Notamacropus eugenii: one gene and its partners. The protein of the gene in region 4 purifies or fractionates together with the protein of the main gene of each other region. This does not show direct contact. Links are inferred from orthologs where the notes say so. Each region holds a gene or a part of one and is shown on either strand. Other genes may lie near its edges.

Region 1 (7,699 bases), on a different chromosome or scaffold from region 4:
AGAAGAAGAAGAAGAAGAAGAAGAAGAAGAAGAAGAGAAAGAAGAAGAAGAAGAAGAGGAAGAGGAAGAGGAGGAGGAGGAGAAGGCAGAGGAGGAGGAGATAAACTCAAAGGAGAATAGCTTTGACTTGCTGGATAAATCAAGTCATTAATAAACTCACGTAAAATAAAAAAAAAATAAAATAAAATCTTTAAAGTGCTAGTATTATTTCCAGACAGCGTTGTCAGCATGACAACTTACAGGAAATACTTCATTTTCTCATACAAGCCCTGTATTTATTCACAGCCCTGGCATACTATTAAAAAAAATTCTCGCCGTTTTGGAGTTTGTTTGCTTTTTTACATTAATGTGGTGGAATATCTGAGACAGCTTTCTAGTTGAATGCACATCATGTAAGAACTTCAAAAACAGTGAATGCAGTTCAGAAACTTTCATTCTCATTTCGTCCACGTCAAGCACTGGCTTTCACCATTACTTTCCTTTGCCCCCTTGCATTTCTAACTCTGGCAATCTTTTCCAAATGATCAACTTTTCCTAAAAACAAGAGGAAAGTAATTTGATGCCATCAAAATCCATAGGTTTTTCACTTCATCGCTAGAGATTTCTGATGGACTAGTTAGAGGTTCTTTCTTTCTTATTCTTTTTATTAGTCAAAGTAAGTAAAGTGCAGGGCTTTAGTTATCATTACTGGATGATTTTTGTCCCAGGCAGGCCCTATCTGGATTGCCCCTTTGTACTTATTCTGACTCTCTGACCTCTCCCTCTCTCTTCCAGGTAAATTTAGAAAAGTTTAACAAATCTACTTAACTTCTGCATAACTTAACTCTTCCTGACTTTATACTTCACATTTCCTCATTTAAAAGTTTACTGCCAATTTTTCAAAAGCAGCATCAAATTGTAGAATAGGAGAGAAAAGAAATAATCTTATTTGAATTTTATTTTCCTTCATCTTTTAAAGCTTTCTTGCCCATAACTTTCTAACGATCAATACTCTGAAATCTGAAAGTATGGGAGTGGGAACGAGGAAGGGGGAGAATGGAGAACCTAATTTTACTGAGTCGAAGATCCGGTCTCAATCCCGAAAAACATAAATTGCTTTAAAGTCCTGAAGCCATAAAAGTTACTGCCTTCCCCAGGCAAACACCACCATCTCAGGCAGGTACTAACAAAAAAGCTCTCCAAGTCACAAAACAACTTCAAACAACTACCACCCCAGGTCCCATCCTCAAATTGCTCATGGGGTCCTAGAATGGTGGAGATATTTGGAGGCACAGTGGTGTCTGCCATGGCCCTTCAAAGATCCTTTTCCCAAGACCAACATCAAAGCCCAGGGAGCACCAGCTTCAGAAGGCTGAGAGACTGCTTGCATAGCCCTCCATGGGCCACTTAAATTCAAACTACTGTGGTAGCTTTTAATAATTAGCCCCACTGTCACCACTACCCCCAACACACTTTCCCATCATGGACTAAAATAGGAAGTCTTCCTCTTTCTCACAGCCCCCATTCATTTAAAGAACCGTCTCTTTCTTAAAGCCCTGTCATACAAAATGAAAATCGCAAAAGCAAACTGGCCCAAGACTCTAGAAACCACTCCCGACACAGACACCAGAATATGGGGACACTGAAACTCTGCCTCTAAAGAGAGAGGGAAAAAAAGTTTTATGCCTGGGTCTGATAGTTTTCTCAAAGCCACCCAGAATCAGGTCCTCCTTGCCATTCAGAGGACCAGGAAAAGGACCCCATTCGCTTCGCCTCTCTCCTTTCATTCCTTCCCAACCCTAAAAAGTTTCTCCCAACTTACTACTCTTCATGATGGTCTCTAGTTTCTGCCCCGCTTGTCATGATTCCCATAAAACTTCCAGCAGCAGCAGCAGCAGCAGCAGCAGCGGCGGCGGCAGTAACAACACCAGCAGCAGCAGCCTGGGCTATGACTGCAGCAGCTCCTCAGTTGCAATCTCCTCCTGCTCTTCTACTTTGCCCGATGGTAGGGAATTAAAATCAGAAAGAAAGAGACGAGGGGGAGAGGGGAACGGGGGAAAAGGGAGGGGGTGGGGGGGACATCAGCCCTGAAACTTCTTTTTTGGCAAATGGGGATTTGTTTTTCCTCCTCCTCAGCAGCTGAACTTGACCCTCCTGACTCCAGGGGCTACTGCAGTTTGAAGTCGCCAATTTCCAGGGCTCACATGCCTTTGACCCACCAAAACCGGGGAGGGGGGGGGGGTGAGAAGAAAAGAAAGGGGGGAAAAAGAAAGAAAACACACACGCATAAAAAAATGCATGTGAAATCCGAGAAGCCTCTCTGCTTTGCTTTTTACTCTCTCTCTCTCCGTTTTGCAAAGAAAGTCACTTTTAATTCCCAATCCTCCTCTCTCAGCTCACCCACATTTCGCACACACAGAGAACACTTTAGCATGGCCACACTCAGCGTGCGCAATATTATCTTACGTAGCGAGAAAGAAAAGCTGATCACCCCCATGCCTTTCTTTTTCCTCCTGCTGATCTCTCTCTCTCTCCCTCTTTGCCTTTTTTCCCCTCCTCCTTACCTGTTGATTAATCGGCAATAATAACCTCAGCAGCCCGAAAGATGGTGGAGCGGTGGCTAGAGCCATGAACCGTCTTCTGTTGTTTGCAGAGTTGATCTTGGATTATTCAGGGGGGGCGGGGGGGTGGTGGTGTGGAGGGGGGGAGAAAAAAAAGGTTTTTCCTGCCTCCCCCCCTCTCTTTTCCCTCCCCCCCCTCTTTTAAAGAGAGAGAGAGAGAAAGAGAAAGGAAATAGATCTAGGATGTGCCTGATGTGGGTTTTTGGGTTTTGTTTTTTTTTTTGCTTTTCTGTTTTAAAGAAGAAAAAAAAAAGCGAAAACCCAGGGTCTGGAGCAACAACAAGCACCAAAAAAGAGGAGGCTTTAGATTGCAGTGAGATCAGTTCTTTATCAGAAATGTTATCGCTTGTCAGGACCTCGAGCATTACGTCAGTTTCAAGACACCAACACTATTAATATCAAAGGAGCCTTCGCAGAGGAAAGCGCCACCCCAGCCTGAGCTCCCTTAAAGAGACAGTACCGCCGCCGCCGCCGCCGCTGCCGCCTCCTGCAACTCCTCCTCCTGAGCCCAAGGCAGCATCCGCTGCGGCCGCCAAGGGGGAAAGGACGGCTTGGGAGCAGACAATTATTACGAGTTTGAAAGAGCTCCACTGTAGTGGAACATCCGAAAGGGAAGCCACCCCCTTCCCCCACACTCCCATACACACACCCGGGCTTTCTTACCGTGATATTTTACACGACCCCATCTAAAAAGCTGACCAGCCTCCCTCCGCACTGTACCCCCTCCCTCTCTATCTATATCTCTGTGGTAGTGAAGGGGAGCGGGGGGGTGAGTCTGAAAGTTTTATGGGGAATAGGCAAAGCCATCAAGCACTTACCTTAAAGGGAGGGCAAGGAAAGCGGGGGATGGGGAGGATGGGGAGGGGGGTGCCTGAACTAATGTCAAGAAAGGACCCCGAGACTGGTGCTATGACTTAAAAGGAGGGGAGGAGTTCTATGAAAGTTAAGTCTTTTAAAATTTTTATCTTCCTTTATTTACTTTCTCTTCTTTTCCTACCTCTTTATTAAGACTCCACAGGATTTATGCGTGTGTGTATTTGTGTTTGAGAGAGAGAGAGAGAGAGAGAGATAAAGGAATCTAAGGCCACCTCCTTGGTGGTTAGTGTTTTACTTGCATTTTATTACAAGAGAGCTGGGACAGAACAACTTGAACTTTTTCCTAAGTTGGAAAAGTGCAGAGGGATGTTACTGGACTTTTCTGATCTAAGGATACCTCTCTGGGATAAGTTCAGGGATTCCATCAAGCAAATAAAACTGGAATGTCTTTCCAATATTCATAGAGATGAATAGTTATTGTTTGGCTTTTCTGTGAACAGATAAGGAGCCATGAATAGACTTTTTTGTAGACTTTTAAAAATATATTTCACATTTTTATTTGAGAACCCTCATTGTTTCTAATCAATTCCTGACTGTTTCTGAATATGATGTTTTTCACCTCTAAAGCTCATCAGCGTATAAAAAATTACCATGAATATTCAAACCATAGTAGGTGTTAAAAAAAAATAAACATTTATTGGGCATTTGGACATAATTTTTTCTCACTTGGATGACTTTAAGTGACATGTTTTTCCTCTGTACAAGTCATTTTGAACTAATTCTGTGCTCAATGGAGAAACAGCTTATTAAAATTATGAAATGATTTAAAATAGAAATTAAAAAGGCAAGATCATGAAAATGTTAGGTAAAAATGAAGTAATTTCCTCAAAAAATATTTTCCCCGGAAAATGGTTCTTTCGTCTTTCTTTACAAGGAAGATGGTAAACATATTTTGTGATATAGACTATCTTCTGAGATGAAAAAGCAAATCAAATGTAAATTAGAAAACTGAAGCATATGTCTTTTAGAGTCATCATTCTTCTCTTGTATGATCTCCATTTATGTTTATTGCATACCTAGACAGGCAGATTTGTTAGGCGATTCCTTTTTAGTACACGTTTATCCCCTAAGTATTTTTGTAAGGTGTCTATTACACTCTTTATGGGTAAAAGGGCAATAATTCATTGGAATAGAGAAACTTGTCAAGCAAAAGGGGTAGTCAAAATACAATTTCACAATGAGGCACACAATATATTCCCTGAAGGTGGGATAAGAACACTAACCACTTATATACATAGAACTACTCATATATTATCATCAATTGAAATTAATTTTGGAACAGAGTTACATTTATACAATATATATTATATAAAGTCCAGCATGAAGGGAAAATTAATATCAAAATCTTCAGTAAATCTTACAGTCAGCTACTAATAGCCATCTGCATACTTATACACTGGAGTCATTTAATATCGTCAACCACCAATTTCCACAGTAAAAGACATTTATATTTTTAAAATAGACCTTTAATTTTTTTTAAAAAGCTATAAATGAAATTGTTGACCTACATGGAAATATGTGTGGCACCTCAAAAAGAATTGTATCCAAAAAGAAAGATTGGAGTAAGACGTTCATTTGCCATGACATACTTAAAAGTTTGATTTATGGAGTGTGTCTACCATATAAATACGAGGTAGTAGACTTTAAATTATGTTTCTGATAATTACCAGGCTACTCTCACAAAAAAGTTTATATGCTAAAGGGTTAAAATACTGAAAATGACTGAAGCTGTTATTTGAATAAAATTATCTGAGGCTAGAGGATCTTAGAAGCAAGGTTGAAGTAGTAAATGTATAACAAGGGCTGTCTTCTATACCCTCTTCTCTTCTCCTTCCAAAAAAAATCTTACATAGATAAACTGTATTGGTAGAAGAAATTTTAAAGTTAAATGAGCTTCTTCCTAGTTCTCCTTATTTCCAACTTAACTTGTAAGAATACAAATCTTATTTATAGCAAATACTCAATGATTAAATAAATGGGCAAAATTAAAGTACATGCCTTCAAAAGGACAAAAGCTTTGAAATGACCTGCATTTTTCTACCTGTAATAATGTAAAACTCTACCAACAAGTACACCCTAAATTATATATTATACAAAAAGCCAAGACCAATTGTCTAAGGATCAATTATGTCCCTTAAATGAAAGGCTGAAGTGACACTTCAGGTACTAACACCCATCAGTGCTGTTCATGATCACTGAAAATTGAAGCTTTAATAAATTCTTTCACAAACTCAATGTTACTGACATTTCCCTGAAATAAAAAAAAAAGGAAAATCTCTTCTAGTTGCTTTCTTTCTATATTTCAAGTTAAAGTAAAGCAGATCAAGATGATGTCAATATCAATCCATTTACATTGACCACAAAAGATCTGTAGAGAACTTAATAAAAGCACAAAATATTTTCGTAAACCTTTTCAGGCAAATTACTTATTTATTTATGAAATAATTTATGAAGAAAATTTTTACCTCATGCTTTAGATACATTGCATATGCTCATGATTGACACAATATGTTCAAGCTCAAAGGCCCTCCTAGCCCTTTTTTTATCCTAGTAGGAATATTTCAAAACAACCAACTAATACATGAGGTCATAATTGTTTGACAGTTGTTTTCAATATATAAAATAAGTTGTGTATATTGATTTTCTTCAAATATTTGTTGATTTGTTTTTATAGATATATTGTCTTGACATTTGCATAGCATACTCTAGATTAAGGGAATATTAAAGGTTTATTTGCATTTTTTATCTTCTGTTGTCAAATAAATGCAAAGCACTTTAAGTCATTCTTTTATTTTGTTCTTATTTTAAATTTATTTCTGTACAGTGGTTAAAATGCCAACTTGTGCTTTTTGTGACAGACTAGAAAATAAAGCAGAAATTAAGAAAAATCTAAAAGCAAACAAAAGAAACACCGATCTACTTAAACAGAGGGAAGCAGAAATAACTTCTTTATAATCCTTCCTATTTCCTTTAACTCTGGGATAATCTTTATTGGATGGGCCACTGTTAGAATGATTCCTTATGGTGGATAAAGCCCATTATTTATCAAGATGACATAACATGCCTTTCCTGCCTCATTATTTAAATGTCCTTTTTTCCCCCTTTTCTTGTAGTTTATTCAGTGTAGATACAAAGAGGGATTAGCAGTTAAGCATAAGTATACTTGTTTTACAATTTCAACCTTTTAGCACATAACTTACTTACTTACAGTACTAGTGCCTGTAATCACAATGATTTTACCTGATGGAACATGCATTTCAGAAATGTAATCCAACTGTTTACTCTAACACGTCATAAATAGCAATTCTTTTCAGAACCCTCAGAGATTGACAACCCTGCTCCTAAATGCCTTTTGCTTTAGCACACATCATCAAGAAAACATTTATGTATTATTCTCCTTCTGGTTAGCACTATATCATACGATTTTAGTATAGTCTACTTTGCTTTCCAGTATTTCATAATGAGTCTTTCAGAAGCATTTACTTCAGCACTGTGCACTCTTTCATAGCAAGAATTACAACAGAAATAATATCAAGGAAAAGTTTTAGTGGGTCTGTTTTTCCCCCTTCCAAATCCATATCCCACTTACTTAAAAATAAAAATCAGTTACTGACTATTTTCATTTCTAAAATGTATCTTTAGACTTAGCATCCCTGGCTGTAATTATTTAAAATAAATTCACATTTAAGCACCTCATATCTGGTATTCCAATTCTCATTTACACTTGCCAAAACCCCTTCAGCCTCATCGGGCAAATGTCTAGTTGGACAGATGGGCCTTGCAATCCACCTGAAAAGTCAGAAAGTGTGGGCTTCTTTGAAACAAGAAGAAAAGCAAATTTCTAGTATGGACTCATCCTAGAAAGAAATCTGACCAAAGATCCCCTGCATAATAATAATGATCCCAATCATTATCATCATTTCTACTACATCTACTATATAAATATTATTATTTTAAAATATTGAACATCAACCATACTGCCAAAGCTGAGGTTGACACAAAATTTGATAGACTTGTTGGCATTTATTAATAGCAGTTTGACTTACCTCCAACTTTACAGTAAAGAAAAAGAAACATCTCCAAGGGAACCCAACTCTTTATGCCCTCATGGATTCCAAAAGTCTTTCCCTCCCCCCACCCTTCCTTTAGTAGCACACACTATGGAGCCCAGGTCTTACATGCTCCATGTGGCCCTGCCTTTGTGCATATGAGCTGCTCCGCCA
Region 2 (7,122 bases), on a different chromosome or scaffold from region 4:
TCATGTACATGTGCCAAAAACTACTCTTATTTCTCTCTTTCTGTCCTACATTCACCTGGCGGGAACTTTGGTTTCCTGCTATCAAGGAGCCCAAGGGAGGAGCTAAAAGTAGAGGTAGCAGCAGCTTCTTTCCTGCCACAAGTGACCAGCAGGTACCCTTCTACTTGCATGGCTGACATACATCTATCTATGTTTACACATACTTCTTCCTATTCCTCCCAACCTCCCACTTGTGACCTGATACTAAACTTGCTAAGTTTCAGCTAAAAAAAGATTTGCTTTATATTTTAAACAGATAAAAATTAAGTGAATAAAAGAACCTACTTCACAATTATACTTTTACAAGTCCTGTCAGTCATTTGATCTATTTTTGTGCCATGTGGAAAGGGATGTTATTGATACTTATTGATTAAGACTATCAATCTTTAGCTTACATTATAACAGCTATATCTTTTACATCATTTTTAGCTAGAATTTATCTAATATTGCTCCTGCCACCCCCCAAAAAAAAAAAACTCTTCAAATTACACTTTTAGTGCATTAAAATGAAGTAGGTTTGTTTTTTTTTTTTAAAGAACAATTGAATCCTGTGTTTCACTTTGGCAAAGTATTTCAAATCTCTGTAGTGTATAGCTCTGCACATTTATAACATAAAAAATTAAACCATCAGAAGTCTTAAGCTCAACTGGAAATCCACAGAGGTCACTTAATTATAAACATGGAAGAAAACAACAAGTATTTATTGGCAATCTGAATAATCAGTATATCTTAAAAATATGAATAAGGTCACTGCCACACTCACTATAACCAAAGAACGGTTTGGGGTGATTTGGGGTCCATTTTAATAACTGAAATATGCTGAAAAGTTACTGAAGTAGCAACACTGATCCTGAAGTTCAAAACTAAAGTGTTCCAAAAATTGTTTCCAGGTCATCCGCAGTGGACCTTCGTTTTAAACTGACCAGTTTTCCCATTTCCCCCCAAACACTTCCACAGCACTCTCAAGCCGCCTGTCAGCCCGGCAGTCCCAATCGCCCCGAACAATGACCGAAGCAGGGCCAGGTGTGCACATGTGACTGGTTCTGGCAGACAAAACCACGGGCGTACGTTAGCGTGCACACAAGTACAGATTCTCCAAGACCAGGCCAGGGCTTCGTTGGGGCATCTGCGGTAAATCCCGTCCCGCCTTCGCACGGAACACTCGTCTGGGCTGCTTATGCAAATGGCAGGCTGAACAATGCGGCCGCTGCCCCGACAGCCATCCCCACGGCTCCCGGAGGAGGCCGCCAAGGCCCGGCCCTCCCGCAGGGGCCGCTCCGAGCCCGCGGCGCCCCGGACAACAAAGAGCGGGCCCGGGCGGCGGCGGCGCCGCTCCGCCATCCATTTTGGAGCGGGCGCCTCGGCGAGGGGCGCCGTGACAATGGAGGGGCAGCCCGGGCTGGCTCCGGATTGAGGCGGAGGGAGCATAGCGAAGCGAACGGCTCCTTGGCCCGCTCCCTGTTTCTGGCCCCAGACGCGGGGCCGGCGGGCGGGGGGGTCCCCGGGCAGGCCGGGGCGGGGAGGGGGGGCGGGCTGGGGGAGGGGCAGGGCCGAGCGCGCCCGACTTACCGCCCCGGCGGGGTGATTCCCGGCGGCGGCCGGCTCCTCCTCGTCGTCGGGCAATGGCGGCCCTATCTTGCTGCAGGTAGCGGCCAGCAGAGCGAGCGGTGACGGCTGAGTGTCCTACCCCCAATGGGCGGGTTCAGAGAGGAGAAAGGAGGGGAGGGGGTGGCGGTTACAGCCGAGCGCGGCTCCCACAGGAAGTGCGACTCCTTCCCTCCAGCGGCCGCCCGCCCTCTCGCTCTCGCTCTCGCTCTCGGCGCGCGCACACCCCACCAGCCGCGCGCCGGGCCTCTACCTTCCGCCCGCCCGGAACCCCCCGGGAGGGCACCGCGGGGAGGGGGAGGGGAGCGCGAGCGAGGGCGCGGGGGGAGGGGGCTGGGCGCGTCGGCGCCTCGGGCGGGCCAGCTCCTCGGGGGCGGGGGCGGGGGCACGGGAGGGGAGGGGAGGGGAGAGGCGAGGGGAGGAGAAAGAGTGCGAGGGGGACTTTGGGTATGGGCCGGAGCAGCTCCTTCCTTACCTGGGCCGCCGCCGCTGCCGCCGCCGCCGCCGCCGCGCCGTTTCCGTGCTGCAGATACTCGCCGTGGCCGCCGCCGCCGCTGCCGCCGCCGCCGCTGTCCACGTCTAAGGCAGCCATTTCCTCTTGTTTCACAGGCTTTTCGGGAGCTGTAGGCGCCGCGGGGGGGCCGAGGGGGAGGGGAAGGAGGGGGGGGCCGGGCGGTGAGAGCTAGAAATTACTATAGAAAGCCCGGGCTGACAATCTCTCCCCTCCCCCTCCCCTCCCCTCTCCCCCTCTCCCCCACCCCCCGGGCTGGTGGCTCGCTCCCCCCTCCCCCTCCTCCTCTTTCCCCCGCCCGCCACGGCTGCCTGTAACCCTCCTCCTCCTCCTCCTCTTTTCCTCCTCCTCCTCCCCGCGCTGCCCCTGCCCCCTCTCCTCTCCTCTCCTCCCCTTTCCCTCCTCGCCGCTCTCACTCGCGCTCTCTCCTCTCGCACGGTCGGTCACCCACACGCACACCGGAGGGATGCGCTCCCAGCGGGACTCGGGGCCCAGGCTTGGGACGGCGCTTTGGGGGTGGGGGGGGGCACGGGATTCCTAGGAGCGGACGGCGGCCAGGGGAAGGAGAAAGCAGGGAGAGAGGCTGTGCCACCTCCCCGCCTCGCACACACTCACACTTCCCAGCCTCACACACACACTCGGAGGCGGCGGCGGCGACGGCCCCGGGGTGGTTGGGACTGGCTGCGGGGAGTGCTCTCTCACTCTGCTTTACGTACCGGTCATAGTGTGTTTAGAGCACCTCAGGCGGGACTCCCCGCCGCCTTACACATGGTGAGGAGCGGAGGCGGCGGCGGCGGGAGAGGATGCGGGAAGCGGCGGCGGACACGGCCGGAGCGGTCCGGGGGATTTTTTTTCCTATTTTGATTGACTGTGCGGGAAACACAAAAGGTGGAGCCTCTAGCCCGAAAGGGGGGAAGAGGGTGACAGCCCGCCCGGAAGTCCCGCCCCTCTTCTCCCCGTTCATTCGTCGCTACGCTCCCCGCCGGACTCTCTCATTGGCTGGGAAGCCCGTCGCTCGCTCGCCCGGGCGCCTCGCTTCCTGTTTGCCCCCCGGGTGGAAGAGGAGAGACAATGAGTGGCCGCGGCGGCGTCGGTTCCCAAGCGCGGCTTCTGCTTGCGCGTTACCCCGCTGTGCCTGCTTCGCTTGCCGGCTGCCGCTCCCCAGTCCGAGGTCCAGGCCTCGCCCGCCTTGCTGGCGCTCGTGAGCCAGCCGTGCAGGCCCCGCCAGGCGCCAGCGTTGGGGAGGAGGGGTGGGCTGAAGAGGAAATCCGTCCCCTGTGGCTTGGGCTCCCTCTCTGCGAGTCCTCCATCCTGGCGGCGGCCGGATCTCCCCTGGGCCTCGCTCAGCCCGAGACTCCGCTGCTTCTCTGCCTGGAGGCCGTGGCTGAGCCCCGGGGCTGCTGCCGCCGCCGCCGCCTTCGTCGCCGCTGCTGCTGAGCAAACCAGACCCGCCCCACGAGCCCGGGGGGAGGGCGCTGGTATTGGGGGAGACACCCCCTCCGAGGCTGGAGGAGGATTTCCTCGCCCTCGCTCGCTCTTGCTCTCCTTTTCTGTAAAGCCACTGGGTTTGTCATCCTTTTCAGGCTCTGCCGCCTCTCCCCAGGCAGGGATGGTAACAAAAAGAATTCCTGATCTTCACACCCAACAAAGGGCCAAAGCACCCGAAAACCTAAAGGCTTCTACGTGTAGTATATGTATACATATACACATGCATACACACATACTTGTGTGTATGTATGTGTCCACGTGTGCCTGTTCATATATACTCACAACTGAGCTAGGATAATAGAGTAGAAGCACACTTCTTATTTTTCGTGAACTTGCGTTTTTCCAAGCTTCTTAATCTCTCTTGGGGCTGAGCCAGACCCTTCTTTAAAATAACGTTTTCTTTCTTGAAGCATTTTAAATTTTATGCTTTAATTTAGACTCATTTCATTTATTGGGCCCGCTTTAGATTATTTGGATTCTTTGTGTCTTATTCAGTCACTGTAGGAGAAAGTACAGGACTTGTTTGCCAATTGGAAGAAATGTCTCTGCCTACCACTTCCAGATTTGGTTGCCAAAAAAGCAGTTCAGAGCAAGAGGTGAAAATGCTGTCCATAACACCCCAGCTCTGTATTTTTTGAAAAGCACTAAAGCTTTCTTGCTCCGACCATTGTAAATAAATTCTTCCAGTAGAAAACTTCACCAGGCTGTGAAGCCCCAGAACTACTAGCATTGAACTCCGGAATCTGACTAGCAAAATCTCTTTTGCCTGGTGAAAGAGCTCTTCTGAATTTGCATCTCACTGCTAAAGCACTTGTCTTGTAATCACCAAGGCAGTCTTTTTTAACTTTTTGAGTTTTGGTTGCATTAAACCTAGAACTGACAGGAAGTTAATTCACATACCTAAAAAACCATGAGCGTACGGAAATGATCTTTTGAAATGGGAGTTCTTGGGTGGAGTTCATCTTTGCACAATTGGTTATCTCTTTTGGTTTCATTTTCATGTGGTATTCAAAGCTCTATGAACACAAGTGGTGCAGTAAATGTACAATATATACATAAGGACTCATTCCCTCAATTATTTGATGCCCTCTCCAGAAATTATTTTGTATTTACAAATCTTTTTACAAGCTGTTCCACCACCAAGTAGAATGTTAATTTGAAGAGAGACATTTTTGTTTTCGTAGCCCAGGTGCCTAGCATTTGCTTGGCATATAATAGACAATAAACACTTGTTCAACTGAATTTGACATATTGGTGCCGTTTCTCAAATGCAGCCCAAACAGCTGACCTCCAGGCTGAGCTCATTGTTCTTCTGCACTGTGAGTTCAGGACATTTGTATTGCTGCCCTAACTCAGTGGGTATAGCTAGCTAAGATTAGATAGCCTAGTGCCTGGGCCTGATGTCTGGAAGACCAGACTTCAAATACTGTCTCCAACATTACCTGTGTGACCAGAGGTGAGTTACTTAACCTCTCTCCGCCTCAGTTTCCTCATCTATAAAAATGAGGGTGTTGGATTTGAGTGTTTCCGTGGTGTCTTCCAACTCTTGTCTGTGATCCCTCTCCTTTCATGTCATGATCTGGACTTATTCCATGCTTTGAAAATCAGTGAAATAGAATAGTTTTATTTTCCTTGGAAATCAAGATAAGTATGATCTAGGGAGAGCAAATGACCTTTTCTTAAGTGTCCTAGAACTCTGATCAAATCTTAGCAAGCGGTTTAAAAAAAAAAAACCAAACTACCTTGTTTTCTTAGTGTCAACTTCTCAATAACAATTGCTACAATACACAGGGAGTAAGAGTTGCAGTTATTTACCATTAAGGGATGCTAGTTACTTAAGAGTTGCAGAGATAAGAGCCTTGCTGGCTCTTTTAGTTCTCCTGACTTGGAATGTTAACATGATCTTCACATCCTTTTCTCTTCTTAAATAGAATTAATCACAAAGTGGTGGTGCTCCTTCATCACACTATCCAAGATTAACTTTTTTTCTATATGCTAATGGCTTGAGTCTTGGTTGTCTCTTTAGACTCTTGCTTACTTTATCTACTCTCATGGCCTCAATTTTCACCTCATATCTCTACCCACCAAGGCTCCTCAGAGCTTCAGTTACATATTTGCTTCTTGAATATCTCTGCCTGGGTAGTCAGCTAAACCTTAAACTTGTCCAAAACAGAAATTGTCTCCGCCAAATCATCTTCCTTCTAATTATTTTTTCTTCGTGGCATCAACATCTTCCCAGTCACCAAAGCTTTTAAACTGGTGGATGTCATCTTTAATTCCACTACTATCCTAAACATCTAATTGATTGTCAAGTATTATTGATTCTACTTCCACAACATTTCTTAAATCTATACATTTCTCTTAGGTCCACTACAACCAGAATCATTAAAGTCTTCATCTTTTCTTACTAAGACTAGACTCTGGTAGCTGTTGTAGACCTCAAGTCAGTAGACTAAAAGTTTTCTAAGAAAGGAAGATATTCTCTCTGCTTTCCTGTTGAATTCAGGACCTGGCTCACAGTGTTCTTCAAACCGACTTGGTCTCTTATTTCAGGCAACATCAATGTACACATTCCCTCAAATATCATAACTTCCAAGTTCCTCAGTCTACCCAACTTCCATGATCTCCTTCACTCTGCCTCAGCTACCATTAATCTTGCCATCACCCACAAGTATTCTACTTCCATGCTGAAAGAGGCTGAACTTCCTTTGCTTTTTTTCCTTCCATCTCTTCCTAGGCCTCCCCAAATGACCAGTTGCCCAAACAATGGGTTAACAGTTATTAAACATTTACCTCTTGTCAGACTGTTGTCGAGATAAGGGCAAAAGCATGGTCCCTGCCTTCAAGGAGCTTATATTCAAACAGAGGAACAGAATGCAAATAACTATGTACCTACAAGGTAGTCTATGTAAATGGTAATCTCAGAATCTGCATTAGCAATGGATGGGGGAAGAGAGACAGGAAAAGGCATCTAGCATAAAATAAGGTTTGAAGTAAGTCTTTAACCGAGGCCAGGGAAGCCAGGTGAGCCGGGAGAGCATTCCAGAAATGGGGAGACAGCCTGTTAAAAGACAGTGGAGTGTTGTCTGTAAGGAACTGCAAATAGGCCAGTGTTGGAAGATCATAGAATATGTGGACGTTAGTAAAGTGTAATGACTGGAAAAGTAGGAAGGGGGCCAGGTTGTAAAGGGGTTTATATGCCAAATAGCATGGAAGTGAGAGGGAGCCACTTAAGATTATTTAGTAGTGGGGAAAGAAGAAAAGAAGCATTTATTAAGTACCTTCTATATGCCAGACCCTCTGCTAAACACTACCAATATCTGATTTAATCTTCCCAATAACCCTGGCCAGTAAACATTAATATCCCCATTTTACATTTAAGGATACTGAATGGCTGACCTCCAGTTTCACATGTCCAACTGCTTTTCAGACATCTTGAACTAAATGTCCAGCAGACATCTTTAATTCAGCACATCCAA
Region 3 (6,992 bases), on a different chromosome or scaffold from region 4:
CTGAGGTTGATGGTCTGGAGGCCTGGCATCGAGGAGAGCTGAGCAGCATTCACAGTGACCGTGCCAGCAGGGATGGAGGCAGCTGAGGCGATAGGTGTAAGGGTGGTGTTGCTGTTGCCAGTCTGTCCCAAAGAGACACCCTGCATTGGTGCCAGGGTGATTGTCTGAGCCTGTGGGTTCTGGACTTGAAGATTCTGCAGCTGAATAGTCTGCCAACTGACCTGCCCATTAGGCCCCACTGTTGGTGTCCGGATGATAATGGGGCCTGAGTTGGGAACAGCCTGAAGCTGGAGGTTCTGGAGACCATCTTGAGAAATAGCTTGGGTTGTAAAGGTCTGGCCTGACAGTGGGGCAGCCTGGAGGGCCTGAATAGCCTGTCCCCCTTGAACTAACTGAGGCTGGATGAGGATCTGCTGTTGTTGCTGTGACTGCTGGTTTTGCTCTCCCTCCTTCTGTTGGGTAGGCTGGAGCGTACCCCCAGGTGTCTGGTTCTGCTGAACATTCAGAGAGTCAGAGCCCTGAAGCCCACTGACCCTTTGTGGTGTCTGGACTTGAGTATTGGTCCCGGCTGTTCCGCTGGTGGAGAAATTCATAATGCCCATGTTGCTGGTGGTGGTTGTGGACGAGTAACTGCTGGCATTAGTGAAAAAGGATCCAGAACTGGCTTGTGAGGTTGCCAGGCTAGCAGAGCTAATAGTCGTCCCTGAGGTTGCCGGCTGCGAGCCACTCTCTTGAGAGCCTGAGCTACTGATTGTGACTGCCTGGGAACTGGGAGTCAGGGTGGCCGCAGCAACACTATTGACAGGCAGCAGGGTGATATTCCCATTCAGTGCTACTGGGACATTGGCCACATACTGAGTCTGTCCCGAGAGGACGTTATTGGCCAAGCCTTGGAGGGGGACAGCCTGCTGGAGCAGGTTTGGCATAGCAGCGATGATATTGCCTCCACTCCCTCTATTTGTAATAATCTGCTGGTTTGCCCCAGGTATTATCTGAATTTGACCAGAACCATCTTGCTGCACTTGGGCCCCAGTAGTGGCAAACTGCAGCTGTTGCCCATCTACAGTCTGGAACTGGGGGATTACTTGGTACTGAATGTTAGGCATCACTCCAGGAAGTCCTGTCAGAACTTGCTGGTTCTGTATGTTGGGGGTGGTGGTAACAACATATTGTCCACCAGAAACTGGGCGGTTCTTGGAGGATTCACTACTACTGCTACCATTGCTATTGCTGCCACCCTGATCCTTTGAGGTAGGGGTAGCCCCAGAGGAAGAGATGATCTGCCAACCATTGGCACCTTGGGTGAGTTGTGTGGCTGCTGTGAGATCCAGCTCACCTGAGCCCCCTGACTGGCTTGGGCCCTGGGAGTTGTTGCTGTTTTCATTGGGTGACTCGATTCTGCTGCAAGTGGCTGCTAGCAAAGCCAGTGGGGATGGCTGGGACTCCTGGTCAGAGAGGAAAGGAAGGAGATTATCGATGTGTCACGTGTCAGTCACACAAACACCAAGAACACAAGACAAAATACGGTCTACTACATGAAACATAAACACTAACATATCACAGGAGTCAGGCAAGTCCAAAAAGGACCCAGTGCGCGGTCCAGAACGGTCTGAAGAAGCACACCAAGGCGTGGGTCTCTCAGGCACTACCACGGAACACAATCTGAGGCCAGAACCACTCACGCTCCGTGTCAAGGCCCTGGCCTCCAGACGTGCTAGCGCTTGAGAGAATGCCCCGAACCGCTCAATGGACGCCCCAGTGGCAGGCTCCCGTCCGCTCGCTGCCCAAGCGCACCCAGGCCCGCTGCCAGGCCCAAGGTCCGGGCCGCACTCACCTGCCCGCCGCCTCCTCCACTGCTGCTGCTGCCGGTGCTGCTGCTGCGGGTCTGGGAAAAGCCGCCGCCCCCGTTGCTGCCGACGCCTTTCTCAATCTTCACCACAACGGGCATCTCATCCACGGAATGATCTTGGTCTGGAGAAGATGAAAGAGGCCACAACGTTCAGAGGCGGCGAGGGCGGGGGGCGGAGGGGGGCGAGCCGGGCTGGCCTGCGGGGGCCCCTTTCTCGGGCATCTCGGCCTCGGGGCGGCAGCGGGGTCTCCGGGCACGCCGCGAGGAGGCGGCCGGGGAGCAGGGGCCAGTGCTCCGGGGAGGCGGGAGGCGGGATGCTGGGCATGGCAGCCGGGCCCGGGAGCCCTCCGGGGGATGGGGGGACAAGAGGGGTTGGGGGCCCGGGCGGCGGCCCGAGGTGGGGATGGGGTGGGGGTCCCTGGGCCGAAGGAGAGAAGGCGGTTTCGGGGGCGGAGAGGAGGCGGGCCGAGGGGGGCCAGGGCGGTTTCGGAGGGATGGGCGGGACGAGGGCGGGCCCGTGGGGGGGCCCCCCGAAGGGGTGGGGGGGATCCACGGCGGGGTGGGGGAGGAGGCCGGGGGCAGCAGCGGCGGCGGCGGCGGCGGCATCGGCGGCAGCGGCCCCAAGGCGGGCGGGCGGGAGGCGGAGGGCCCGGGCGGGGCCCGCGGGGCTCCGGCGCCCCCTCCGGAGGAGCCTGGGGCGGGCGAGCCGCCCGGCGGGCGGGCGGCGGCCGGGGGAGGCCCGTCCCCCGTGGCCGGGGCGGGCAGGGGGCGGGCGAGGCCGCGTTGCCCCCTCCCCCGGGGCGGGCAGCCCATCCCCCCTCCCCCTCGGAGGCCCCGCCACTGCCCCGGCTCTCGCTCGCTCCCTCCCTCGTCCCTTCCCCTTCCCTCCGCCCCGGGCGGGACCAAGGCCGCCGCCGCCGCCTCCCGCCCGCCCCCCCTCTCGGCGGGGACCGCCCGGTTGGCCCGCGCGCGCGCCCCCTCACCCGCTTCCAAGCCCCCAGCGTGGAGGGCACGGATCCTTACCGCTCATGGTGGCAGCGCGGGCACGAGCTCTGGGAGGGGGGGTCCTGCAGCGGGGGGGGTTAGGGGGGGCCCGGGGAGAACGCGGACGCTGACGAGGCAAGCGAACCTGGACCGGACAGGGAGGGGGGGGTGAGGAGGAGGGAACAGCGCGCCACAAGCCCGGCCTAGGCCCCGCCCATCGGCCGCTGCCCCGCCCAATGAGGGAGGGGGAAAAGAGGGACTTACGGAAGAGAGGCGGATCGATCGACCAATGGGAAGGATTATTGGCTCGCTAGGGCGGTACCCGCTGTGCAGAAGGGCGTTGCGTGGCTGGCGTTTGCCTCATAGGATCGGCCCTCCATTTCGAAAGACCAATAAGAAATGGGTCTCGAAGAGAGAGGTGGGTCCTTTTAAAGATGGACTTGTGAATTCGCCAATCAACAACCAGGCGGGCTCTCTACGGCGCAAGGATTGGGTGATTTTTGTAGAAATGACGAGAGGGAGGATCAATCAGAGTTTTGGACATGGCTCCGCAAAGTACAGGTTTGCGCACACGGGGCGGATTTATCTGAAGGTGACCAATCACAAACCAGAAAGGTGCCTGGGCAAGCCATCATTGGAAGATTCCTAGAAGCGGACGGGACTAAATTTACATTGACGTGACAGGACAACCAATAAACCACGAAATAAGTTTTGTGAGGGAAGTCAGAGCTTGAGAGAGCGGAATCGGCCTCCCCTGAATCCCTTCCACCAATGAGGAAACAGATTTAGCCGGGCACCGCCCTAAATTGGCCAATGGGCGTTGGCCAGTGGCGCCTTGTACTGGGGAGGGAATGGGGGGTTGTGCCAATAGTCCTCTGCCGCCATGTTGTTTTTTTACCTAGGCGTCTTCACGAGCCTTAAGCGAGCTGGCGGCGGGGCTCTAGCCTCCGGGGGCGGAGTGTGGGGAGCCCACCCGCCCCCTTCCTCCTCCTCGCTCCGTCCCCCTAGCCCTGCTCCTGCTCCGCCCTGGCCCGTGCGGGGACTGGAGCTCTGGGAAACTACCCCCACCCCCTCGCCGCGTCCCACGCCTGGCCCTCCGGGGGGGGGGGGGGGGGGGAAGGGAGGAGGGAAGGAGGGAGGGGGAGGGGCAGCCGGAGGTCGCTCCTGGCACGTGTTCCGTCCTCCTTTCTGCTTACCCCAGCTTTACCCCTGGTTAGGCTCTGGGCACGCGGGGCTCCCTCTTTCCCCCGCCATCGAACCAAATTCAGATCGAGTACCTCCACAGAACAAGGCCTGGGGAAGTCCCCTCCGCCGGCTTCCACCCTAATCAATCCAAACTATGCCGGAAATCGGGGACGCAAGGTCACCAAGTACATCGACGTTATTGAAGGTCATAAGACTGTGAACGAGGGAAAACCAGATTAACTCAGATGAGTAAAATGCACACGGATGTGAGGGAGGAAAGAAGGAAGGGGGGGAAGCATCAAGGACCTCCCTTAGGCCGGGGACAGTTCAGGGAAGCCCAGGAACCCCGTCTGCCAGGGGAGGCAGTGAAGCTGCCGGGGCACCCCGAAGGCTCTCCTCCTTTTCTGTAGTTCTGTCCCAGCAGACAGTCTGGGTGAGGCCTGCGGAAGCAGCAGAAGGGATCCATGAGGAGGCTGCGGCCAAGGCCCGAGCCGGAGAGGGCCTAGGGCCTGCCTGGCGTGGGGGTGCGTGCGGGAGAGCTTGGGGCCCAAGGGGGAGCCCCCCCGAGAGCGGGGGATCCCAGCTCGTACAGACTGTGACCTCCTCAGAGAAGCCAGGGAGTGTTTCACTTACAGGACTTAGTAGGTGCTCCATAAATGCTGGTCTAAGGGCGGGGCACCCAGGATTTTATTTAAAATAAATTTAAAATCAAAGGATCCCACCGCCCAGTAGGGAAGAAGAGCCTGCCCCCCCCCCCCCCCCCAGCCTCTGATCATGTGCCACGGAATGGAGCTAGAGAAAATCACTCTATTTGACAAGAACTGTTAGGGACACTGGGAAGCGGTTTGACACCAATGAAGGATGGACCTGCAGAACACGTGCCAAGGTAAATTCCAAAGGGCTGTAGGCCTTAGAAGCCAGAGATGATACCCCGAGTTCGTTAAGGGGGCCCAGAAGAGATTGCCTTTCACATAGGGTGCATGATCAAACGGTCTAAGGGTGACCACTTCCGGTAAAATGGAGAGATTGGATCACATCCACTGTAAAAATATTCACACAGATTAATGCAGTGAAAAGGAAGATGGGTAACTGCCGAAAATCTTTGCTGCAAGTTTCTCTGGGAAAGGTTCCATGTCCAAAACACATAAGGGACTGATTCAGATTTCTTTATGAGCCGTTACTTAGTTGAAAAATGGTCCAAGGATAGGACCAAGAGGTTTTCAAAGGAAGACATCCCAGCTCATCGATAGCCGTGCAAGAATTCGCTAGATCAGTAATAATTAGAGAAGTACAAAGGGAGGAAAACAAAAGCCCAGAGATACTCCCTCACGCCTATCAAACTGGGAAATACAAGAGGAAAATGACAAACATTGGAGAAGCTTCAGTATCACAGGCACTCCAGGAGGTTCTTAGCGTGACGGGGTTTAGCCATTGTGGACGGCAGTTAAGAACCATGCCCAGAAAGTTACCACGTTTCTTATGTGCCCTTGGAATCCAGCTATACCAGCCCAGGCCTAGACCTGAAAGAAATACAAGAAAGAGGAAAACAGATGTACCTGTAGAAAAGTATTTACAGCACTTCTTTCTGTAGTGGCCAAAGGCTAGAAGCTCTCAGGTGTCCACTTGTTGGGGAGTGGCTAAACAAATCATGGTATATGAATGTAAGATTATTATCTTGCCATAGGAAATAGTGAAATGGAAAGTGGAAACTGGAAAAGACCTCTGTGACCGATGCAGAGAAAATTTGGCACAAGGAGAACAATTTATACATAATAGATAAAAGCAATTATGATAGACTTTGGAGTTCTGATCAATACACTGATAAACCTCTGACTTTAAACTCAGCACAGCACCTCCAGCCATAGACTCTGTGCAGGGCCCTCTTCTCCATTTATACTACTTAGTGGGTGATCTCATCAGCTCTCATGGATTCAGTTATCATCTCCATGCAGACGATTCTCCTATCTACTCATCCAAGCCCAACCTGGCCTCCAGTCTCACATTTCCAAATGCCTACAGGCAACAAAAAACAGCCACACAAGCATTTTAAACTCAATTTGTCCAAAACTGAACTTATTATCTTTCAGGGGTGAAGGGAGTGGGGGGGGGCTTCCTAATTTCACTATTACTGTCTAGGGTACTAAGATCTTCCTAGGCCAACCTAGGTTCCATCCTTGACTCCTCACTCACTCTCACCCCCTCCCCTATATCTAATCAGTTACCAAGGTGCTATAAAATCTCTCACCCTGGGGTAGGTTCACATCACCCCAAACCAAGAATATTGGAATATCCTTCAAGGTAGTCTACCACCAAAAGTATCTCAGAGACTAGAGAGGTGGAGTGGTAGGTGGGGTAGTAGTGGGTGGGGAGGTGGGTGGGGTAGGAAGCCTGAGGGTAGGTAGATTAGGTGACCAGGGGCCCCGGGTTGAACAGCTGACTCAACCCATTCCCTGTTCAGCTGCCAAATCAATTTTCCTAAAGTGTAGATCAGACCCTGCTACCACACTCCTCAATCAAATGTAATGGCTCCCAGTTACCTCCAGAACCAAATATAAAATGCTTCTTGGCATTTAAAGTTTGTCGCAACCCGACCCCTTCCTACCTTTAGTGACTCAGGCCTCCTCCATTCTGAGTCAGTGCCCATTCATTGGCTGTCCTCAAAGTCTCCCGAAGTGCTCTTCCTCCTTACCTTTGCCTCTGACTTCCCTCAAATCTCAACTAAAATCCAACCTACTGCTGGAGGTTTTCCTAGTCCCACCTACCACCCCCACCCCCATGACAAGTACCTTGCCTAGAAGATCACCTCCCCCACAAACTCTACATATCCGTCTGTCCATTAGAATGTAACCTCCCTGAGAGTAACCCCTGCTTTTTTTGCATTTCTTTGTATCCTGAGCACTTCACAATGCCTGACACATATTAAGCCGCTGATTAACTAAATATTTTAATGTATATGCCACCCTTCTTTCTGCCT
Region 4 (7,221 bases):
TACACTACCTAATTACTAGTATCAATCTTAGACATAGGTTTTACATTTTCCATACACAAAATTTAGTCCCTTACAACTGGTCATTGGTATGTACCTTATATTTCTCTTGGCTCTCCTATGTCAAAGCGTCTATTGTGTTTGTTTTGTTTTGTTTTGTTTTTTTAACAGATTCCTGAAAGTCTGACAATTGACCAAATGTCCATTTTTTTTTTCCATTCAAAATTACTTTTAGCTTTGCTGTGTATGATATTTTCTGCCAAAAGCCCAGTTCTTTTGCTCTTCAATATATAGTGTTCCATCTCTCAAACAAAAATTTGGGACAATCATTGATAGTCCTTGGAGAGACATATAATGTAATCAAATGAAGAAAATTATTGGACAGCTTCTACTTCACTTTGAAATATTTTGGTCACTAGGTACTTTAAAATTTTAAGCCTCAAGGGTGGATCCTAATAGCACTATATTACTTTGCCCAACTTTATGCCCACAAATTCGATGATCTAAATGAGATGGATGAATATTTTAAAAAATACAAATTGCCCAGATTAACAGAAGAGAAGTTGAATACTTAAACAACCCCATCTCAGAAAAAGAAATTGAACAAGCCATCAATGAACTCCCTAGGAAAAAATCTCCAGGGCCAGATGGATTCACAAGTGAATTCTATCAAACATTTAAAGAACAGTTAATTCCAATACTATATAGACTGTTTTTGAAAATTGGGGAAGGAGTCCTCCCAAATTCTTTCTATGACACAAATATGGTTTTGATACCCAAACCGGGAAGAGACAAAACAGAGAAGGAAAATTATAGACCAATTTCTCTAATGAATATAGATGCAAAAATTTTAAATAAGATTCTAGCAAAACGAATACAGCGTCTTATCACGAGAATAATACATTATGATCAGGTAGGATTCATACCAGGAATGCACGGCTGGTTCAATATTAGGAAAACTATTAGCATTATTGATTATATCAACAACAAAACTAACAAAAACCACATGATTATCTCAATAGATGCAGAAAAAGCTTTTGACAAAATACAACACCCATTCCTATTAAAAACATTGGAGAACATAGGAATAAAGGGAACTTTCCATAAAATAATAAGCAGTATCTACCTAAAACCTAATAGCACTATATACTCTGTTGAAGCTGTTCAAACCCTGTGAATTACCATGTGGCATGTACTGCCATGTAAAAGCAAACACCATGATTTTGGGGAGATTAGGTTTAAGCCTGAGGCTATTTCACTTTGGGTCAACACCCAAGTGTGAATCTTGTAATATACCTAGTATTTCCCTACTATGTTGCCTATGGTGTTGCCACATTAGCACTAGATGAAGAAAAGAGGCCTGGCAAGTGAAAACATGTTTGTTTGAAGAATAATTTTATATAAATAAAAAAAGGAGTGACTCCACAACACACATGTTAGTGCCCCCTATAAATTAAGTGATATTTCTTGTTTCCCTGTTTTGTGCTTACATCTCTGTATGCAAATCCTCTCTCCCCAATCCCCATTAGAATGGAAGCTTTTTGAGGATTTTCATTTTTGTCTTTAGACAGTTCCTGGCATACAATAGTTGCTCAAAAATTGCTCTTAGCATTGAATTGAACTGAACTGAGTTATGACCAGAGTCTAGTTTTTAGAGCAAGTATAGCTATTAAATTCATATTAATAGTGTAGAGAGTCCTTACAAAGACATAGCTGGTGGCCCAGATTCAAATTTAAATAGGGTCCTCAAAAGGAAAGAATCTGAAGGTGATACTTTGTGCATTGATAGATAAGGAAACTCAGTTTTGGAGAAACAGAATTAATTGCATAAAGTTGAAGGCAATTTTCAATTATTCAGGGAATGAGTATCATTTGTGAATTGTCCTTTTGATGATTTTATTCTTTTTGAACATTTGTTATTTTATTGGGTAAAAATTGAATCATTTTGTTGCTGGTTACTCTGATAAAAGGTTTGGTTATTGATTTTTAAAATGGCGGTCTATCCATTTTTTTAATGCTCTTCATTTGTCCACATTATTTTCTTTATTCATAACAATAACCAATTTGCTCTTTAAAAAAAAATTTTAGTTCAGAATTTTTAAAAATATAGAAAATGTTTAGTAAATGTATGTTGATTGATTTGAATTCTCCACCTATCACCGTGATGTTTTTCTCAGACTACTTCTAGGCTTTGGAGCTTTTACACTTGGTACATTTCCAATTATCTTTTGGCTATAAGCATCCAAAATCTAAAAATAAGTTACAAATACATTTTTATTAGTGTACTTTAAGTATGGGCCCCACTACTATCATTGACACCACGTACAGTGTATACCCCACGTGTTCATGGGGAAAAGTTTTGTTACTATTGGTCTCATGATACCATCTTAGTAAATGCCTTTGCTTTGAAAAAAGATTAATTGGGAAGAGAAGTTATCTGTTAAAATTTATGTGTCCTCTAAGAATAGATGAATATGAAATATTCAGAGAAGAATGGAAAGATGTATGAACTGATAAGCCAGAAAAACAATATACATGATAACAACGTAAATGGAAAGAATACCAACAAAACCTCTTGAATTTTATATATTTGTAATGATCCAACTTGGCCCCAGAGAAGAGTTGTGAAAATTAATCTCCCTCCTTTCTTGGTAAAACTATGTGTGTGGAACATTACATATGTCAGAAGAGATTGATATGTTGGCTGATTTTGAAGAACCGCTTTTATTCTTCTTTCTTTTTTATTCTTTATTACAAAGAATGGCTCTCTGGGGATGGGAGATAGATGGGATATGTTCAGAAATAAAGCTGTTGTAGAAACCAAAGATTTTTAAAGTTACTCATCATGACGTACCCTTGGGGTAGTGTCAGTAGTAATGGTGGAACACATACTTCAAGTATATTAGTAGAACCATTTATTCATAACTCAGTTTTATTCTTATGCTGGAAATGAACCAGTTGTAAAGGCAATTGTAAGAAATCGTCTAAGAAGAAGACCACAACCACACTCATCACTCCATGCTTCATCATACTCATGTAGCAAGACAACAAGTGGTTCAGAGGGATGACTGACACCGGAGTCTATGGGGGGTGAAGGGGGCGGCAGTATCTCCCGTCCTTCATGCATTATTGATGAATCTTGAGAAGATACAATTTTGTCCGCAGCCATCCCAGTAATCACACCCCGCAGGGCACACAAACCTACCTCAAATTCGCTTATCCATTTACGGATCCCACACTATACACAGAACTTTGTGCTAGGTGCCAATGGACATTTTCCTTTCTTAAAAAATTGACTTTTGGGGAGGAGCCTAAACTTCCAACAAACTTAACTGTTTTCTTCCCAACGGCTAACACATTTAGGATTTATGGGAGAAAATGCAAAAGAGTCAACTGAACGCATTTTTTTTTTTGCTTTTCTTTTTAGACAAGGAACCTACAGAGCTGGGAGGTCCTAGCACGTGGGACCGCTAAGGGGCTACTGAATGAAGGAGCTTTGGAAAGAGAAGGGCTTCAGCGTCCAAAAAATGCCTTCTCTTTCAAGGAACTATTTCTTAAGAAAGGAAGTGGGGGGTGGGGGGGAGAAGGAAGAAAGGGGTGGGGGAGGAAGGGCTGTGTCGAGGGGAGAGAGCGGCGGCCCGTATGAACTCGCACATGGATTCCTAATTTAATTATTTTTAAGTGAGCCAGTGAGACGTTCAGGGTCCACGACGGCAAAGATGGTGACTGGTAATAAGAGGACTAAGAGGAGGGAAGCTCGGGCAGAAGTGAAAGGGAAGCGCAGCCGCACAGGAGAAGGGGAAAGCAGTGGTCTCTTCCAGACCCCTACTACCCCCTCTGGCGTAGAACACGTGGTTTGATCCAGGCGGGTACACTGGTGGGGACAGCGAAGGAGGAGGGAGGCGTAGGTGGACGCAAAGAAGTCTCGGGGACTGATGCTTCGCCTAGGAGGAACGGATGAATGCGCAACTGCGCAGGCGCGGAGTCGGCGCTACTATTTCGCCCTCGCTGAAAGAGAGGGGAATCCAGGCAGCAGTTCTGACTATTTAGTTGTTAAATATACTTATATTCCCATCTTGCCTCCTAACTTCCTTTTAGTTACTTTCATTTTCTTTACTTATAAAGAAATAGCCTATATAAGGCGTTTTTCCGCCAAATCTCGAGAGGTCTTTTGCACTACTTCTCCCAAAGCCGGCACAATGGGCACGTCCCCGCCTCCCCAAGCTCCCGGGAGGTGGTGGCGAGTCTCCCCCACCCCCCTAGCGTCGCGACTTGGCGCTGCTTCCTCCCCGACTCCACTTGTCGGCCCCCTCTGCCGGGCGGTGCCGATTCCCCCTCCCGTCACCCCTCCCTCCTTTCCCTCCCTCCCTCTTTCCTTCCCTCCCTGCCCGCCTGTAGCGCCCCCGTGGCCGCCGCCACCACCACCACCACCGTTCCAGCGCAGGCCATCCTCTGCTCCCTGCGCGCTCCCAGCCTGCCGCGGAGGCGGCGGCGGCGGCGGCTGCAGAAGCCCAGGAGCCCGAAGTCAGCAGCGACAGCCGCGGCGGCGGCAACGGGGAGCCCATGGCGTACAGTCAGGGAGGCGGCAAGAAGAAAGTCTGCTACTACTATGATGGTAAAAAAGGCCGACCCTCAGCGGGAGCGGGGAGCCCGGAGCGCGCTAGTGGGGCTGCAGGCTCCCCTTCACCCTCCCCCCACCTTGCACTGCACCTTGGCCTTCCCTCTCCCACCCGGCAGGGGGGCGGGGAGGCGGAGAACCTGAAATTGTGATGGGTCGTGCCCTGCTGTGAGTGAGGGGTGGTCGCCTGTCTCCCTCCCTTTCCCCCTCCGTCCCCGCCCCCGCCCGGTGTGCAGGCGGGAAAATGGGCATCTCCTTTTCCCCACCTACCCAACCATCCCCATCCTCCTCCCCCAAAGTCACCACCCCCTGGGGAGCCCGCCCAGGCTTCTTTGGGGTTGGGGTAATGGCGAATAAGGCCCGCCCTTCACTCCCACTAGCGTGCGTGGGGAGGAGAGCTGGGGGTTGAGGGCCGCGACGAGAAGCGCATCCGACTTGCACAGCCGCCCCCGAAATGATGGTTTCTAACACGTTCTGGGCTCACACAAAGCGGTGCATCCCCCTCCATCCCGGGCCCCGCCTTCTCTCCCCTCCCCCCGTCAGCCCCTTCCTCTTTTCCCTCCCCTCCCTTTCTCCCTCCTCTAACCCACCTTTAGCGCATCCGCTGCAGAAGGTGGCAGAGAGTTTTCCCCCAATCGCCAGGCCAGGGTGAGATGGCCTCAGACACTCGGCTTAAGGAATGATCTTTGTCCATCCAGTTGATGGAGCCCCACGTTCTCAGGGCCGGTGGGATGAAGAGGGCCCCTTCTTCCACCTCTGCGGCAGAGCCCTCGATGGTTTTCAGCCTAGGATTTCTACCGACTTGGAGACGTGCGGTCTAGTAATTAATTAGAACTAGGAGGAACGCGAGGTGGCCAGGGGACGGGATGTATTTGTTGCTACTTGTGTGTGGGAATCAGACCCGACGGGGCCTGGCCTTGGTGAAGCCTCTGTCTGTCTTAGCGGTGCCAAGTTAGACGTGGTTGCCGCCCACTTCTTTGTTGCTCTTTGTTCAGCCAGGGGTGTGTGTGTGTTGGGGGGGAACGTTGTGCGAGAGCCCCTCTTTAGGAGTTTTCATACCCCTTTGGAACCTTTGGTAAAGTAGAATGAGAATCCTGGTGAAGAAAGCACTCAGCAGCAGTTTAGAAGTGATGTCTGATTGCAGGTAGTTGAGTCCTTCAAGGGTCTGGGGGGATTCCATCCACTGGTACATATTCACCACCCTTCTGCATCTTGTTTAGAGGCTCTTCAGAAATTGATGTAGCTGAAAACAATCACCTTGTGGCCAGCCTGGTAAAAAGCCTCCACTAACACCTTTCTCCCCCTTAGTGTCGGTGGGACTTGATGGCACTTGTCCTGCACTAGTGTATCCTGAAGTTATCCCCACAGCGGAATGAGGCATCAGAGTAGGGCCCGAGTGGAGAGGGTGTAGATATTTTCAAAGTATTGAAACAAATTATGCTGGAGAGAAAAATCCCAAAATCTAGCAAAGGAATTAGACTTCTTGGCCTGATGTGCCTTTACAAATTTGTATGAAATGAACTCAAAAGCTTCCCTTTATAAGCCAGCCTTTTCCTAAATTTGACATGGTTTCTTTTGGAAAGGAACCCTATAAGTTATCTCTCCCAACATAGAATCATAGTGATACCAAAAAATAGATGTTGATGATTTGCTTTTGGATTTTTCTTTAAAGTAATATCCCATCTTTCTAGTGAAAATGACATAACTTGACATAATTTTTCTTATGCCTGTTTTATGAACCCCAAAATAACTCTTTATCAAATGATGTAAAAATTTTAATGGGGATTTTATTTTATGGCTATGAGAATAAAACAATAGTTTTGTCTTTGTTAGAAATATACTTTCTAGGAGGCTTAATTATTTATTCTAAATTGTTTAAAAGTTGTATCTGGGGCTTAAGATGTCTTAATAAGACTTATAATTCACTTTTCGTATATATTTTGGGGTGCCATAAAATCTTTTGGCTTTTTTTTAACTGAAATAGACTTTAATTATTTATATAGCAAGTGATTCTTTTTATTTAAATATAGTTTTGGAACACTCTTTTTTAAATTGATATTGTAAGGGAAGGTCTGAAGGGATCAGGGAAACCTGATCTACAGAACGCTTCAAACAGCTGTTAGTTGGTCTTGGCAGTGAATTGTGGGCTCTGAATGGAGTAGGCCAGCCTGCACTTTTCTTCTGGTCTTAGTAACATCTGTGGTATCCAAGGAAGAAACTTAGTTTCTTCTTTTCTTTCTTTTCCCTGGTAGCACTCTCTCTTTAAAACTTAGCATATTTGTGTACCTAATGTATCCCTGTTAGTAGATTGTAGAGTCCTTGAGAGCTGGGACTGTCTTTTTTTTCTTTTTTTTAATTTTTGTATCACCAGCCTGCTTGCACTAAGTGTTTTAAATAAATGTTAGAATTGAGTTGACCCTACTAATACTCTGATGATTTTGGATTATTATGGTTACTACATGGTGAATATATTCAGTTTTTTTGTTTGTGGTAGGGCAAGTAATCCTAGGTAAAATGATAAAATAGAAACAATGAGAATAGCTATAGAAGTTAACTTTGTCAGCGTTCCTTTATTGTGGATTGCTTTAGTTATCTTATGTGCTAAG

The links.
Region 1: the proteins of HDAC2 (region 4) and TRPS1 purify together in Homo sapiens (co-immunoprecipitation; 4 studies listed by BioGRID and IntAct, with this or other methods). This does not show direct contact. The link is inferred for Notamacropus eugenii from reciprocal best matches to the Homo sapiens genes HDAC2 and TRPS1.
Region 2: the proteins of HDAC2 (region 4) and SP3 purify together in Homo sapiens (affinity purification with western blotting; 3 studies listed by BioGRID). This does not show direct contact. The link is inferred for Notamacropus eugenii from reciprocal best matches to the Homo sapiens genes HDAC2 and SP3.
Region 3: the proteins of HDAC2 (region 4) and SP1 purify together in Homo sapiens (affinity purification with western blotting; 11 studies listed by BioGRID and IntAct, with this or other methods). This does not show direct contact. The link is inferred for Notamacropus eugenii from reciprocal best matches to the Homo sapiens genes HDAC2 and SP1.

The regions. Positions count from the first base shown.
Region 1 is NC_092875.1:130,539,794-130,547,492, reverse strand, and holds the start of TRPS1 (zinc finger transcription factor Trps1), read right to left. Parts: upstream 3,015-7,699; 5' UTR 2,544-3,014; intron 2,188-2,543; exon of another isoform or gene 1,812-2,187; coding exon of another isoform or gene 1,802-1,811; intron 1-1,801. UniProt on the Homo sapiens protein: Transcriptional repressor. Binds specifically to GATA sequences and represses expression of GATA-regulated genes at selected sites and stages in vertebrate development. Regulates chondrocyte proliferation and differentiation.
Region 2 is NC_092876.1:236,039,395-236,046,516, forward strand, and holds the start of SP3 (transcription factor Sp3), read right to left. Parts: upstream 3,009-7,122; 5' UTR 2,879-3,008; coding exon 2,872-2,878; intron 2,266-2,871; coding exon 2,120-2,265; intron 1,723-2,119; coding exon 1,609-1,722; intron 1-1,608. UniProt on the Homo sapiens protein: Transcriptional factor that can act as an activator or repressor depending on isoform and/or post-translational modifications. Binds to GT and GC boxes promoter elements. Competes with SP1 for the GC-box promoters.
Region 3 is NC_092874.1:226,343,126-226,350,117, reverse strand, and holds the start of SP1 (transcription factor Sp1), read right to left. Parts: upstream 3,022-6,992; 5' UTR 2,880-3,021; coding exon 2,873-2,879; intron 1,972-2,872; coding exon 1,835-1,971; intron 1,446-1,834; coding exon 1-1,445. UniProt on the Homo sapiens protein: Transcription factor that can activate or repress transcription in response to physiological and pathological stimuli.
Region 4 is NC_092873.1:195,219,215-195,226,435, reverse strand, and holds the start of HDAC2 (histone deacetylase 2), read left to right. Parts: upstream 1-4,204; 5' UTR 4,205-4,560; coding exon 4,561-4,612; intron 4,613-7,221. UniProt on the Homo sapiens protein: Histone deacetylase that catalyzes the deacetylation of lysine residues on the N-terminal part of the core histones (H2A, H2B, H3 and H4).